Linked DNA regions of Canis lupus familiaris. The protein of the gene in region 2 purifies or fractionates together with the protein of the main gene of each other region. This does not show direct contact. Links are inferred from orthologs where the notes say so. Each region holds a gene or a part of one and is shown on either strand. Other genes may lie near its edges. The genes, in order: POC1A, CORO1A and IFT57.

Region 1 (3,644 bases), on a different chromosome or scaffold from region 2:
TTACCTATGACGATGGGTTTATAAATGAAAGGCTTGTCAGGTTCTTGTAAGTTCTTGGTGGCTGTTCACACTGTGCTGCATCATCAGGAGAGGGAGGAGCCTGCATTAGAGCAGGGCCTCACCTGTTCTGGTCTCCTCAATGAACCTCAACTTCTGCCCTCCTCAGGTAGGCGGGAGCCCCAGGGAAAGGCGTCTCCTAAGAGCTGGCCATGGTGCCAGCCTGGGTGTCACCCTTGGCCTGTCTCCTGCAGATGGGTCAACCAGTGGCCTTGGGGTCCCACTGGCCCTTTGGGGCCAGGCCTCATCGCTTTGATGAGGGCCCTTGCTCTGACTCTGAACAGCCTGAGCTGTCAGCTGTCGTTTAGGCTGAAGACCCCTTTCTCTACTTGTATTTAGAGGTGGACGCTGGGATTCGGTCCCTGATGAGTCCACCTCCGGTCACTGTTAGCCACTGTTTTTGCCCTCTCTCTGCTGTCCCTTGGCCACCTGGTAAAGAAAAAGGGCAGAAGGGAGATATTTTGGGTTTGGGGAACAGCTTGAGCAGATGTGCAGGGATGGGAAAGGGGGGTCTGTTCTGGGCCAGGACAGTCCTACAGCATGCGGCGGCCCCTGCCTTTCCAGCTTTGTCACCTACGTGGACTTCCACCCCAGTGGCACGTGCATCGCCGCTGCCAGCATGGACAACACAGTGAAGGTGTGGGACGTGCGGACGCACCGCCTCTTGCAGCACTACCAGCGTGAGTGTCCCTGAGCAGCCACAGCATGACGGTGCGGAACCTGGCGTCAGGCTTGTGGCCATCATGCTGAAGCAGGCCTGAGGACGGCCCTGGTCAGTGGGGAGGAGTCCTGGGCCCATTGGGATCTCCAGGGGTCAACTCAGGTTGGAGACCAGAATCAGGAAGCAGCCCTGGGGCCATGTCCCCTGAGAATTATAGCCCTCAGAGGTGCAGAACAGCGAGCAGTCAACATAGGCCATCTTAGGCTCCTGCTGGGAGGTAGGGTAGGGACGGACCGGGTGTGATTAGGGTGAGCTGGAAGGTGCTGGAGTGTGGAACTTGAGAGCAGGTGTGACTGGGCAGGGCTGTGAGTCACCTTGGCCGTGGGGATGGGGAAGGGAAGGGAGGTGGTGATCTGCCACAGGAGGAACTAGGAGTGGGGCCAGGGGCAATATGGTGGGCAGGCCTGTGGGCCTGGGGCTAAGACCAGGTTGGGGTAGAGCTGGAGTTGTTGGAAAAACTGTGGTTATTGTCTTGGGACAAGATTTAAAGTCCATGGGCTACATCCAGAATTCACCCCTGAAATGGAAAGGATGCGTCTGGACAAAGGTGTTGGGCTTGGGGTTCAGCTTTCCCTTGCATCCCCTCCTAGCTGATTCTCAGCTGTTGAGGACAGCACTTCCTTGAGGTAACTGAGGCTAGCAGACCTCCCATGTTGAGGGAGAGGCTCTTGGTCTTAAAAAGCATTTGGCGGAGGGTGGGCTTTGCAACCAGCCTCAGTATTTGGAGTTGTGGGACGTTGGGCAGGGCATTTGACTCCTTTGGGCCCCCTGGGACAGTGATAGGGCCTCCTTCACAGGTGGTGTTGGGAGGGTAATGAGTTAGTCTCTGCCAAGAACTTAGAGAGTGCCAGGCACAAAACAGGAACCAAGTAAGGGGTTCAGATGCCCGTGTTGCCAAGTCTGGGTCCGGAGATCCTGGAGTAGGGAGTCTGGCCTGCATTGCCCTACACCACCACCAGGTGGCAGAGGCTAGCCACTCTTCCTTAACAGAAAGCCCTGGGGCTTGTCGTAGCTGCAGCTGTTGCAGACAGACCTTCTAGAACAGAGTAGCTATGGGGTCTACCCTCTACTTGGAAACCACAGCTTTCCTTCCCTCCTTCAGGCTTAGAGGCCTCTCTTCTCTGGGCCAGGCCTGGGTTGGAGTTGGCGCACATCTGCAGCGGTTGACTGGGGGAGGGTTGGCAGGTATGGAGGAGTGCCGGGGCGGGAAGGTGCCTCTGAGTGTGGGGTCAGGAGTATTGGGAGGGGGAGGTGACGAGGCCAGGCAGGTTAGGAGTATAGGCTGTTTCCTGTCTGTAAAGGGTGATAATAGTACCTCATGGGATTTGTGAAGATGTGTTGGGGGAGTCTACATGATGATTATAATACAGTACTAGAAATGTGGTTAGTACCACATAAATCTTTCTCTTCTAATTTGTATTATTATTATTATTTTTTTCATCACATAAGTCTTGACACTGAGGGGAGAGGATCTCTAGGTGGCCATGGGAGAGTCCAGCCTCACCTCTGATGGATCAGGAGCATGGGTCTGGGTTTGTGGCATGCACCAGTAGGAACCCATTGGGGAGGGCGTTGAATGCCATACTCTGGCCCATGGTCCAAAAGATGCAGCCTGGCTGGCAGTGCTGGGACTGGTCCCATTGCTCGAAGAGCAAAGGTATGTCTGAAAGGACATACAGAGCCTGCCTGGGTGGGAAACTGGTGTGCTTGGGCGACTGGTGGGTGGGCTACTTATGCCCCATGTCTGAGTGAGAGGAGGGCATCCAAGTAGGGCAGGGATCAGGTCCAAGGGTTAGGTTTTGGAGATTGAGAGAGTCAGTAGGTGACATTACGGGTTGAGGGTCCCGCTGGGCCCAGAAATCTGGGCCTTGAGAAGGGCTGAGGCCATATCATGGGTCCCTATGATTGAGGGGCCATGGAGGGAAAGGTCTACAAAGCAGCCAGAGTGAAGGATGGAAAAGGGCTGAGAGGGCAGGACCAGAGGCATAAAGAAAAGCAGAGTCTCCTGAAGAGGGTGATCAGGAGGTAGAGTGATACAGAGCAGTTGAGAAGGGTGGCAGGTGCTGGAGAGAGGTCCCTGGAGTTCTTGAGGGGGCAGGCTTGGCAGTGGGTGGGCCGGGGAGTCAGTGACTGGAGGGGCTGGGGATGTGGTGAGGGGGCTCAGGTGGCATCAGGAGCCAAATCCTGAGAGGACCCGGGGTACATGAGGCTTACAGGCTCTCTGCAGAGAGATTTCAGTGTGTTTTTGCTATTGTCCTTTGCTCTTATGACAGACCTACTCTGTCTTGTTCCTAAGCCACCTGAATACATATCAGAGGCCTTGAGTGGCTTGGAGTACCCTGTAAACAACTGAGTTTCCTTAGCTCCCTGCCCAATACATGGTGCACAGGGCAGCAAACTCATCCCACTGCCTCTAAACTCACCCTCTGGAGCTCAAGGAGAGCCACGTGGATCTGAGGATGCTGTTGGGGGACATACCCCTCACACTTTATGCTGTTTGAGGGACCTGGCCAGGTCTGCTCAGGTCTACTGGCACCTCTTAGGAGCTGCGTGGCCGAACCTTCGACCTTAGAGGCTCTCACTAGCCCCTTAGTAGCAGCTGCTCTCTCATCCTCAGGGGTACAGGGGCATCTCTTTGGAGGCTGATTCTCCAGAAGGACTCCTGGCACTCTGACAGCAGACACGAGCTGAGCTGTTTTTCACCCCTGATCCTTAGGAAACCCAGAGGAAAGTTTTTAAGAACACAGACATCCCCTATCTCCCTTGGTGACTCTGGATGAGTACCAGGCACTCCTGGTGGGCCTTGGGCACATGAGGTTGTTGGGCTTTTCCAAGACCTTTTGATTCTTGATGCTACAGTGTGTGG
Region 2 (4,407 bases):
AACTCAGAAGGGCTGGCCGTGAGAAGTGCACAACAGGAGTGCAGGGCTGGGTAACAGGGACACACTGGGCCCCAGTCCTGCCTTACTGGCCAACTCCTGACATCTCTACCCCCACTTTCTTGCCGATGCCCTGAGGGCTGGCACTCCCACCCCAGCTTCCTTGAACCAGGCTTCCCAGGGGATGATAGGCCAGGGCCCTGGGCAGGGGAGGTTGTATTAAGGGTAGGATTCCCCAGGAAGTGTGGGAATGGGGATGGGTCCTTCCAATAGGATAGGGACTGGGGAAGTCTGTCATAACTGGCCCCAAGCAGGAGCAAAGGTTTGGAAATGGCTGCTTCCGGGGACAGCTGCCGCCACAGGGCTTCCTGTGTGAAGAGCTCACCCAGCTCTCGCCCCACAACCACTTCCTCTTCTCTTGGCTTTCATCAGCCCTTTTAAGGTAACAACTTAGGGCCCATGTCCCCTTCCTGTCTCACCCCTCAAGGCAAAGGAGTGTGCTGGGGGTGGGGGTCAACAGAGCGGAAGGGGGGTTGTGAGCAGCAGAAGCAGAGGGAAGGCAGGTTTGGGGGAGGGGAGAGGGCCTTTCATGTCCTCCCTGCTTGTAGCCCGGGGCCAGAACTGGCTGGAGCTCTGGAGGGTGATGGGGGCTCAGACTGGCCTGGCCCCAAGCCCCTCCCACCCCGTGAGCACCACTGGGTCTGCCCAGACCCCATGGAGCCCAGGCTGTGCTCCAGAGGGGAGAAGTCCCTGGGCTAAGACTTGGGACACCTGGCCCTGGGTCTGCAGGACTCGCTATATGACCTTTCTGGTGTCACCTGAGCTTCAGTTTCCATGCGACCACTGCATGTTGGAGCTGGAGGAGGCTTAAGGCTCATGTGGCCCAGCTCAGTTTTACATATGACAATGCTGCAGCCCCAGAAGGCCTGGTGACAGTCACCTAATCAGGATCAGAGGCCCCTTCAAGTGGAAGACTACTGCCCCAAGGACTCCAGGGGCTCACCTTGCCCAGGGGCAGCACCAGGAAGGCCCCTCCGCCACTGGCCTCGCAGATCAGGGCCATGAACTTGGGGTTGACAGCACAGAAGCCACTGTCCCAGGTGGTCTGTGAGACACGCACATCCTCATAGCACTGGTCAGCCTTGGCTGGTTGTCCAAACACATGGCGGAACTTGCTGGAGCGGACCACCTGCCGGCTCATCCTGGGGGGTAGGGGCACGTGGGCTTGAGGGCCTTTCTCCCTTCAGGTTGACTCTGACCTTAGAGTGTTCCCCATGTCCCCCCAGGACACCCCTCAGCTGGTGTTTAGGGTCTCAGCTAACTTCCCCAGCATCTTCCTGGGCTCCCTGCTCCGTCCTCTGTAACTACCATCCTGTTGCCCTCATGCTCACCTTCCTCACCCCTTGTCACTCCTGGCAAACCTGCAAGGCCTACCTTTTCTGCCCACCCAGGCCTCTGGTCTGTACCCTCAGCCTCTATTCCAGAGCCTGGGGGTGGGGTGGGGGCAGTAGCACCAAGAGCCCATCTGTCGGCTGCTGCCAGACACAGCCCTTTCTCTCCATGGCTCACCCTCCCACCCTCTGGGGGCACAGCCTGGAGGGTAGCTTCACTCCATCACAGCAGCCACAGCTCACATTGCTCACACCCACACAGAGAGCTTCCTGAAGGCAGGGGCAGGGCTGGCCTCCCTCACCTCCTGGCACGGGGCTAGGCATCCAGGGGGAAGCAGCACGTTGACCTGCCCAGGAGGCAGGTCATCAGAGGCAGGGTGGCCTCCCCAGCAGGTGTCTGGGCACCAGAAACAGGCAAATGGCCTGGGTCCCACTCTCTCCTCCCCACACCTCTGCCTCTCGAGTCTGCCTGAGCAGGTGCCCCTAAGTGCCATTTCCACCTGCTCTGGAACTATGCACAGGGAGAGGTGGCACTGATTTCCCTGAGGTCCAGCGGGGCTTCTCCCACCTGGCTGGTCAGAGAGCGACTGAAGAGGATGGTGTTGCCTCTGGCTCCCCAGGCTCCAGGCTCCATCCTGAAGCCCAACTGCATCACCTCCCTGCTCAGCGTGGGCGCCAGGCCTCTACCCCCTCCTCGGTTTCACCCCTTAGACTGCCTTTGGCCCTGGCCCTTCTCGCGGGGCACCCCGCTGCCCTGGTCGGCCCTGGTCGGCCCTGGTCGGCTCCGGGAGGCTCCGGGCCCACCTGCCCAGACAGCAGGTGAGGAGCACGTGTGAGGAGAAGCAGTCCGGGGCCAGAGGGATCAGTCCCGGGTCAGACCCTGGGCCTGGAGCGAGGGTAGCCCCGAAGCCAAGGCTGGGGAACAGGAAGCCATCGCCCCACCCGCCTCCTCCCCCACTGCAGGTACCAGGCCCAGAAACCGCGGAAAGGGGAACTTGGTCTTTTCTTGTTTTGCTCTCAACCCCTTCCTGTCTCGGAGCTCAGGGCAGCCGCTCGGCTCACCCCACCCTGCCCCCCCGCCCCCGCCGCCCGTTCCGGCGCGAGCCAGCCCCCCGCCCCCCACCTCCATCTTGGCTGCGGTGGTCCCTCACCCCGCCTGCTCACGGCGCCCCGGACGCGCAGACGGACCCTCCCGCGCACCCCCTGCCCCCCGGCGAGCCCCCTGCACGCGCGGCGCGCACGGCCCCGTCCCCGGTCCCCGCCGCGCGCTGACAGCCCCGCCGCCCCCGCGGCCGCCTCCCGCCCGGCTCACGCCTGCCCCACAGGTGGCCCAGGGCAGCGATGCCCGGCGCCTCGCCCGGGGACCCGGGCTTACCTGCCGCTGAGAGAGGAGGGACCCCCCGGATAGAGGAGGGAGAGGAGGAGGAGGAAGAGGAGGAGGAAGGCGCTGGCGGAGCCAGAGGCTGCCCGCTGAGGATGCTCTTGTCAAGACAATGAATGAGAAGCGCCGCTGCCCGCCTCCTTAGGGGTGGCAGCGCCCCTTTGGGCGGAGCTCCTGAAGGGCTCCCCGCCCCCCAGCCCGCGGCCGCCCCGCCCTCCGCCGCGCTCCGCCGCGCCTGCCAACTCCCAACCCAAACAGATGCTGCCGGCCACTCGCTGACAATCTAATCGGCACTTTTGTAATGTCAAAATGCAAAAATACCCTGTTCCTTCTTCCCTCCTTCAGTCCGTCCCCAGCCCACTCACCATCCTGTCCCTGGCGTTCGCAGAAGCGCCCATCAGGCCCCCACGCCCACCCCCAGCTAAGGCTGAGCTGCCTTCCTCGCCCCCCCCCCACCACTCCCAGACGAGGAACCGAGAGGAGGGGAGCCCTGGGGTCTCGTCTAGGCTCCTCCGTTTACAAACCGTGGCCTCGGGAGAGTCACTTCTCTGCCATCTCAGGTCTTCACCCTGGAGCACCTCTGCCTCGCCTACCTCACAGGGAACAAATGAATTACTCTGGCATTCTGGAGGCTTCTTCCTGCAGGAGCGGCAGAGGTCAATGAGTCAGGGTCAGGTTCCTGCCCCCAGAGGGCTCTCAGCCTCCCAGAGGGAGAGGAGAGGAGGGCTCCAGGGATGCCAAGCAGAGTAGAAGCCAGACTGCACACTCAAGAGGAAGGAGGAATCCATCGTCGCCCTTGGATTTGGAGAAGGCGTCAGGGAGGTGGCAATGCAGAGGGCAAGAGAGGCATACTCCAGAATCAGGATGCTTGCTGAGTTTGGCTCCTGGTTGTCACACTACTGAGTGACCAGGGCAGGATACTTAACCTCCCTCAGCCTCAGTTTCTCCCTCTGTAAGAGTCCTACCTAACTCGAGAGGTTATAGGGGGAAGCAAAGCTTTATGCACCTCCTCTTGGGTGTAGCAAGTGCTTAATAAATGTTGGCTCTCCCCATGATCACTGGGTATTTGGGCTGACAGCTCCGTATGAGGGGCGCTGGGACAGTGTATCTGTTGGGTGTTGCTGGCCCACCATCTTACCAAACCCTCTTTACTGACGGCCACCTCTGGATTTTCCTTTGGGGGACCAACCTTTCCTCACTGGCAGTCCCTGAAGTTCAAGAGGGGGTCCAGGGTGGGCACAGGGCCACAGTTCCCCAGTCAAGCAATCTTTTTTGATTGGTTTAAGGATGGGCACTTGATTCAAGGCTATGTAATCAGAAGCAGACTGGTTGAAGCTGCAAGAAAAAGCTATAAGACCGGCTATAAGATTGGCTATAAGACTGGCACTAGTAGTGACCATCTGGTCACCATCTAGGAAAAGCTGGCGGCAATCATCAGCCCACACAGCTGCAGAATCGAGATATGAAGACTGACATATTCCTTTTTTTTTTAAGATTATTTATTTATTTATTTATTTATTTATTCATGATAGAGAGAGAGAGAGAGAGAGGGGCAGAGACACAGGCAGAGGGAGAAGCAGGTTCCATGCCGGGAGCCCGACACGGGACTCGATCCCGGGACTCCAGGATCATGCCCTG
Region 3 (3,644 bases), on a different chromosome or scaffold from region 2:
AAAAAATTTTTTTTCATGAGCTCTAGATTTTAATAAGCTTTCAAAATTATTGAATGGTATATTAAAAAAATATAGATCTAATACATCCATAAAGGGACATAAACATATTAGGAGTGTTCTGGACATAATTTGAATAATAAAAGAGACAGAGAGACAAAGCTTTTTATCTTCTGAGAGTGCTCCTAACATTAAACTTCACCAAATGATGTTTTCAGGTTGTCACATGACAATAAAAACTGATCTAAGTTGTTGTTTTAGGCATCAGACATGCAAACCTTGTAGTTATCTCCTAGCATCTACCATGCCAATCCTTTTTTTTTTTTTTCTTTTTAGAGAGAAAAAGAGAGCAGGGAGGTGGGGTGGGATAGAGAGGGGCAGAGGGAGAGTGAGAGAATCTCCACGCCTGACTTGGAGCTCTGTCTCACAACCTTAAGATCATGACCTGAGCTGAAATCAAGTCAGACACTCAATGGACTGAGCCATCCAGGCATCCCAACCTTGCCAGTCTTTAATAATGAGTTATTAATTAAAACAGTATATACATTCTGAGAAGATTTTGGATTTCTAAGGCTTAGTAGGTATCTTTCTTAATATTATAGTTTTATAAGAGAAGATGCCATCTTTTCCTGTATAGGATGCTAAAAATAACGTTTATACCATATGGCTGTATATAAAAATATTCCAACTGCTCTATCCAAACCGTGAACTCCAAGAGGCATATTGTGCTGTCATATTGGCTCTTAGCTGTATTCTACGTCATATTCAAAATTATACTACTATAGCCTCTATTAGTAAAATTCCAACCTAGAATATTAGCTTTAAAAGTTTTTTTAAAAAATTATATGACCTAGAACTAAGCCATAATTATTGTAACTTACTAGGCTTTATTTTTATCATACTGGTGAGTAAAAACTTCCTTGGGAATAAAGTGCTCATCCAAGTAAAGCAAATTAATTTTTTTTTAGGCACCTGCAATGTTACAACTGGGGATAACTACCTCCTCCAAAAGAACTAAATGGGTCCCTGGACTCCCTTCAAGTGTTAATTTACCTAACGTAAGTGAGCACTTTACTTCTACATAATGTTCTATTTGCCTAGAAGCACCACAGGATTAGAGTCTAAATATTTCTAAAGTTACACTTTTAGTATTCTAAAATAACTATTTATGCCTCAAATAATCTCTATAAAAGAAGCTTAATTCTATTATATTGAAAATGTCTGTGACAATTACACTGGATTATAACCAAAGACACTCTTGTACATTGGCTATTGACCTTGTAAGAATTTTTTTTCTCCCGGCCCTTCAGTAAAAAATTGGAATATATATTAGATTGTACCCCTTTGTGTGATGATGAAAATCAATGCAACAATATATGCAAATATTTCAGAAGTTCTCAGAAGGATAGCCACTTCCAGTTTGTAGACAGAAATACTTAGGATCACATACATCAGCAGCAATCACTAAAAACAGATCTTATATCTTACAGACTAACATTAAAATTAATTATAAGACATTTAAGCCAGTGCTTTACCTACTCTTCTATGTATTAATCATGACTACTCTGCTTTTAAAAAGATTAAGGAAGGTTATAAATGTGCTAATATTATCAACAGGTTCTATGTTGAATTTAATAAAACAACTTCAGGCATTTTATGGGAATAAGAAGTATATAAATACATAATTGATTCATTGATAAGAAAACTAGGGATTTTCTCCTAAAGAAAAGGACTCAGAGCCACGGGAAGCAGTTGCTGAAATAAAGAGCGCCCGGTTGGAGCAGTATTAAACCACAATGACTCTGCATGGCTGGGGCCAGGGTGCAGCTGAGGGTGAGGAGAGGGCGAGAGCGTGGTGTGCACCTCAGACAGGAGCTTGGTCCTTTCCGTTACTCCGCCATTACCCTGCTGGTATCGCTCCCGTGCCTAAGGGAGAAAACATTTTGTTTAATGACAAATTCACAACAGAAGCAGATTACTTAAATGTGACCTCTTTGTGTTTGCGATTTCTGCATATCATTTTATGACAGCCCCCCCCATTTGTGAATACATTTGTGAAAGTGACATTTAACTGTAGCTTTTTTATGTCCCTAATAGGCGCGATGTATTTAAACTAAGGCACTATAAAATGATAAACTACCTTAACCTTCATATACTGACTGTGTAACTCACACGGGCATGGTTCACAATAAAAACTGTCCTCAGCTATTCCTACACAGTTTAGGAGAGCAGCTCTTGGTCGATGTAATTTGCATGCTATGCAGAGAAAACCAGTTCAAAAAATCAATCATAACAGAGCATCAGGATGAGCAATTAATAAGGATTAACAAATGGTATGACAGTACGGAATATGTTCTTGGGAACTAATCTAACAATTATTTAGTATCAGTGTTTGACAGTGGTTTTAATCAGACTTTTTACAGCATTTTGAAAGTAAAAACATCCATGAGTATATATGTATATGAGGGAATAATTTGTTAAATAAATAACATAATAAAACAGTGAAGATTGTTTTCTGTTTGGTCTTTGAGAACTTCTGAAAGTACAGAAGTATCTTAAGTTGATTTCCATTTTTTCCCTTCTTCTAACCTTATTTACTGAAAGAAAAATAAAAAACTCTTCAACTAGCATTTCTAAGTGTTCTTACTAGCCTTCCTCAACATCAGGAAAGAGGGGGCATAACTCCCAAGGAAAGCCTTTAGATCCCTACTGGGGTACAAAGAACCACTGCTTCCAAAGGCTGAAGGTTTTATTTTTTTGGTTGAAATTCTAAAACCTTGAAAGGATTAAAAAATTTGCTCATTAAATTAATTAAACTGCTTGTCTCTGAACGTGTCTTGCTTTCATATTCTTTATTATGTGGCTGTAAGCCATTAAGGCAATGATGTCTTTTCCCTCTGACACATGTAAATGCATACTATTCTTTTTCCTCCTACTCACAGGGTAAATTAACGGCAGACTAAGAAACAAAACCAGGTGTCCTGACACTCTGTTCCTGTTCTAAGCAATGTTCCCCAACAATACATGTCTTCATTTATTTAAATCAAAAGAAGAAATGCATTTAAAGACTTCTAGGAGATAATTTCTATTGCATGTAACATGGAGATGACAAGTTCTACTGCCTCACGTGGCTTCCTAAAGTGGGCAGAGTATCCATGTGTTGCTGTTTGGGAGAAGCATTTCATGATTCTCAAATGAAAAGTGCTGTGTCAAGTTTGGGAATTAAGGTCATTAACTGAAATAAATCCCTGAATATCATTCCTAAGTTACCTCACTCAGTTGGGCTTGGGCTGCACGATATTCTTGAACCAAATGCTCAAGCTGGTTGTTGATGTACTTTTCTCGGCTGCCGATCTTTTCCAGAGTTCTACTAATTTCATTATGAAGTTTATCCAAAAATCCCTAGAAATTCCATAGGATTTTAGTAGATAAAAGAACTCACAAATACATTTTTCAAAAATAGTACAAAATGGGCTAAATTTCCTTCAATCCATCCCACAAATTCCCAACCACTTGTGAAAAAGAAGATAGCTTGAAATTTTCAATAGCAAAAGAAGTCTGTAATGAGAAATATTTTAGTCACACTTGGCAGAATGTTAAAATAAAAAAGCACCTGGAAGTGTTAGTCAATTCATTAGTCCTTATGC

What was found.
Region 1: the proteins of CORO1A (region 2) and POC1A purify together in Homo sapiens (affinity purification with mass spectrometry; 3 studies listed by BioGRID and IntAct, counting the BioPlex papers as one, with this or other methods). This does not show direct contact. The link is inferred for Canis lupus familiaris from reciprocal best matches to the Homo sapiens genes CORO1A and POC1A.
Region 3: the proteins of CORO1A (region 2) and IFT57 purify together in Homo sapiens (affinity purification with mass spectrometry; 3 studies listed by BioGRID and IntAct, counting the BioPlex papers as one, with this or other methods). This does not show direct contact. The link is inferred for Canis lupus familiaris from reciprocal best matches to the Homo sapiens genes CORO1A and IFT57.

What each region holds. Positions count from the first base shown.
Region 1 is NC_049241.1:38,006,317-38,009,960, forward strand, and holds part of POC1A (POC1 centriolar protein homolog A), read left to right. Parts: intron 1-621; coding exon 622-737; intron 738-3,644.
Region 2 is NC_049227.1:18,326,886-18,331,292, reverse strand, and holds the start of CORO1A (coronin-1A), read right to left. Parts: upstream 2,923-4,407; 5' UTR 2,764-2,922; intron 1,200-2,763; 5' UTR 1,199-1,199; coding exon 1,001-1,198; intron 1-1,000. UniProt on the Homo sapiens protein: May be a crucial component of the cytoskeleton of highly motile cells, functioning both in the invagination of large pieces of plasma membrane, as well as in forming protrusions of the plasma membrane involved in cell locomotion.
Region 3 is NC_049254.1:13,948,532-13,952,175, forward strand, and holds part of IFT57 (intraflagellar transport protein 57 homolog), read right to left. Parts: intron 3,400-3,644; coding exon 3,268-3,399; intron 1,924-3,267; coding exon 1,861-1,923; intron 1,056-1,860; exon of another isoform or gene 966-1,055; intron 1-965. UniProt on the Homo sapiens protein: Required for the formation of cilia. Plays an indirect role in sonic hedgehog signaling, cilia being required for all activity of the hedgehog pathway.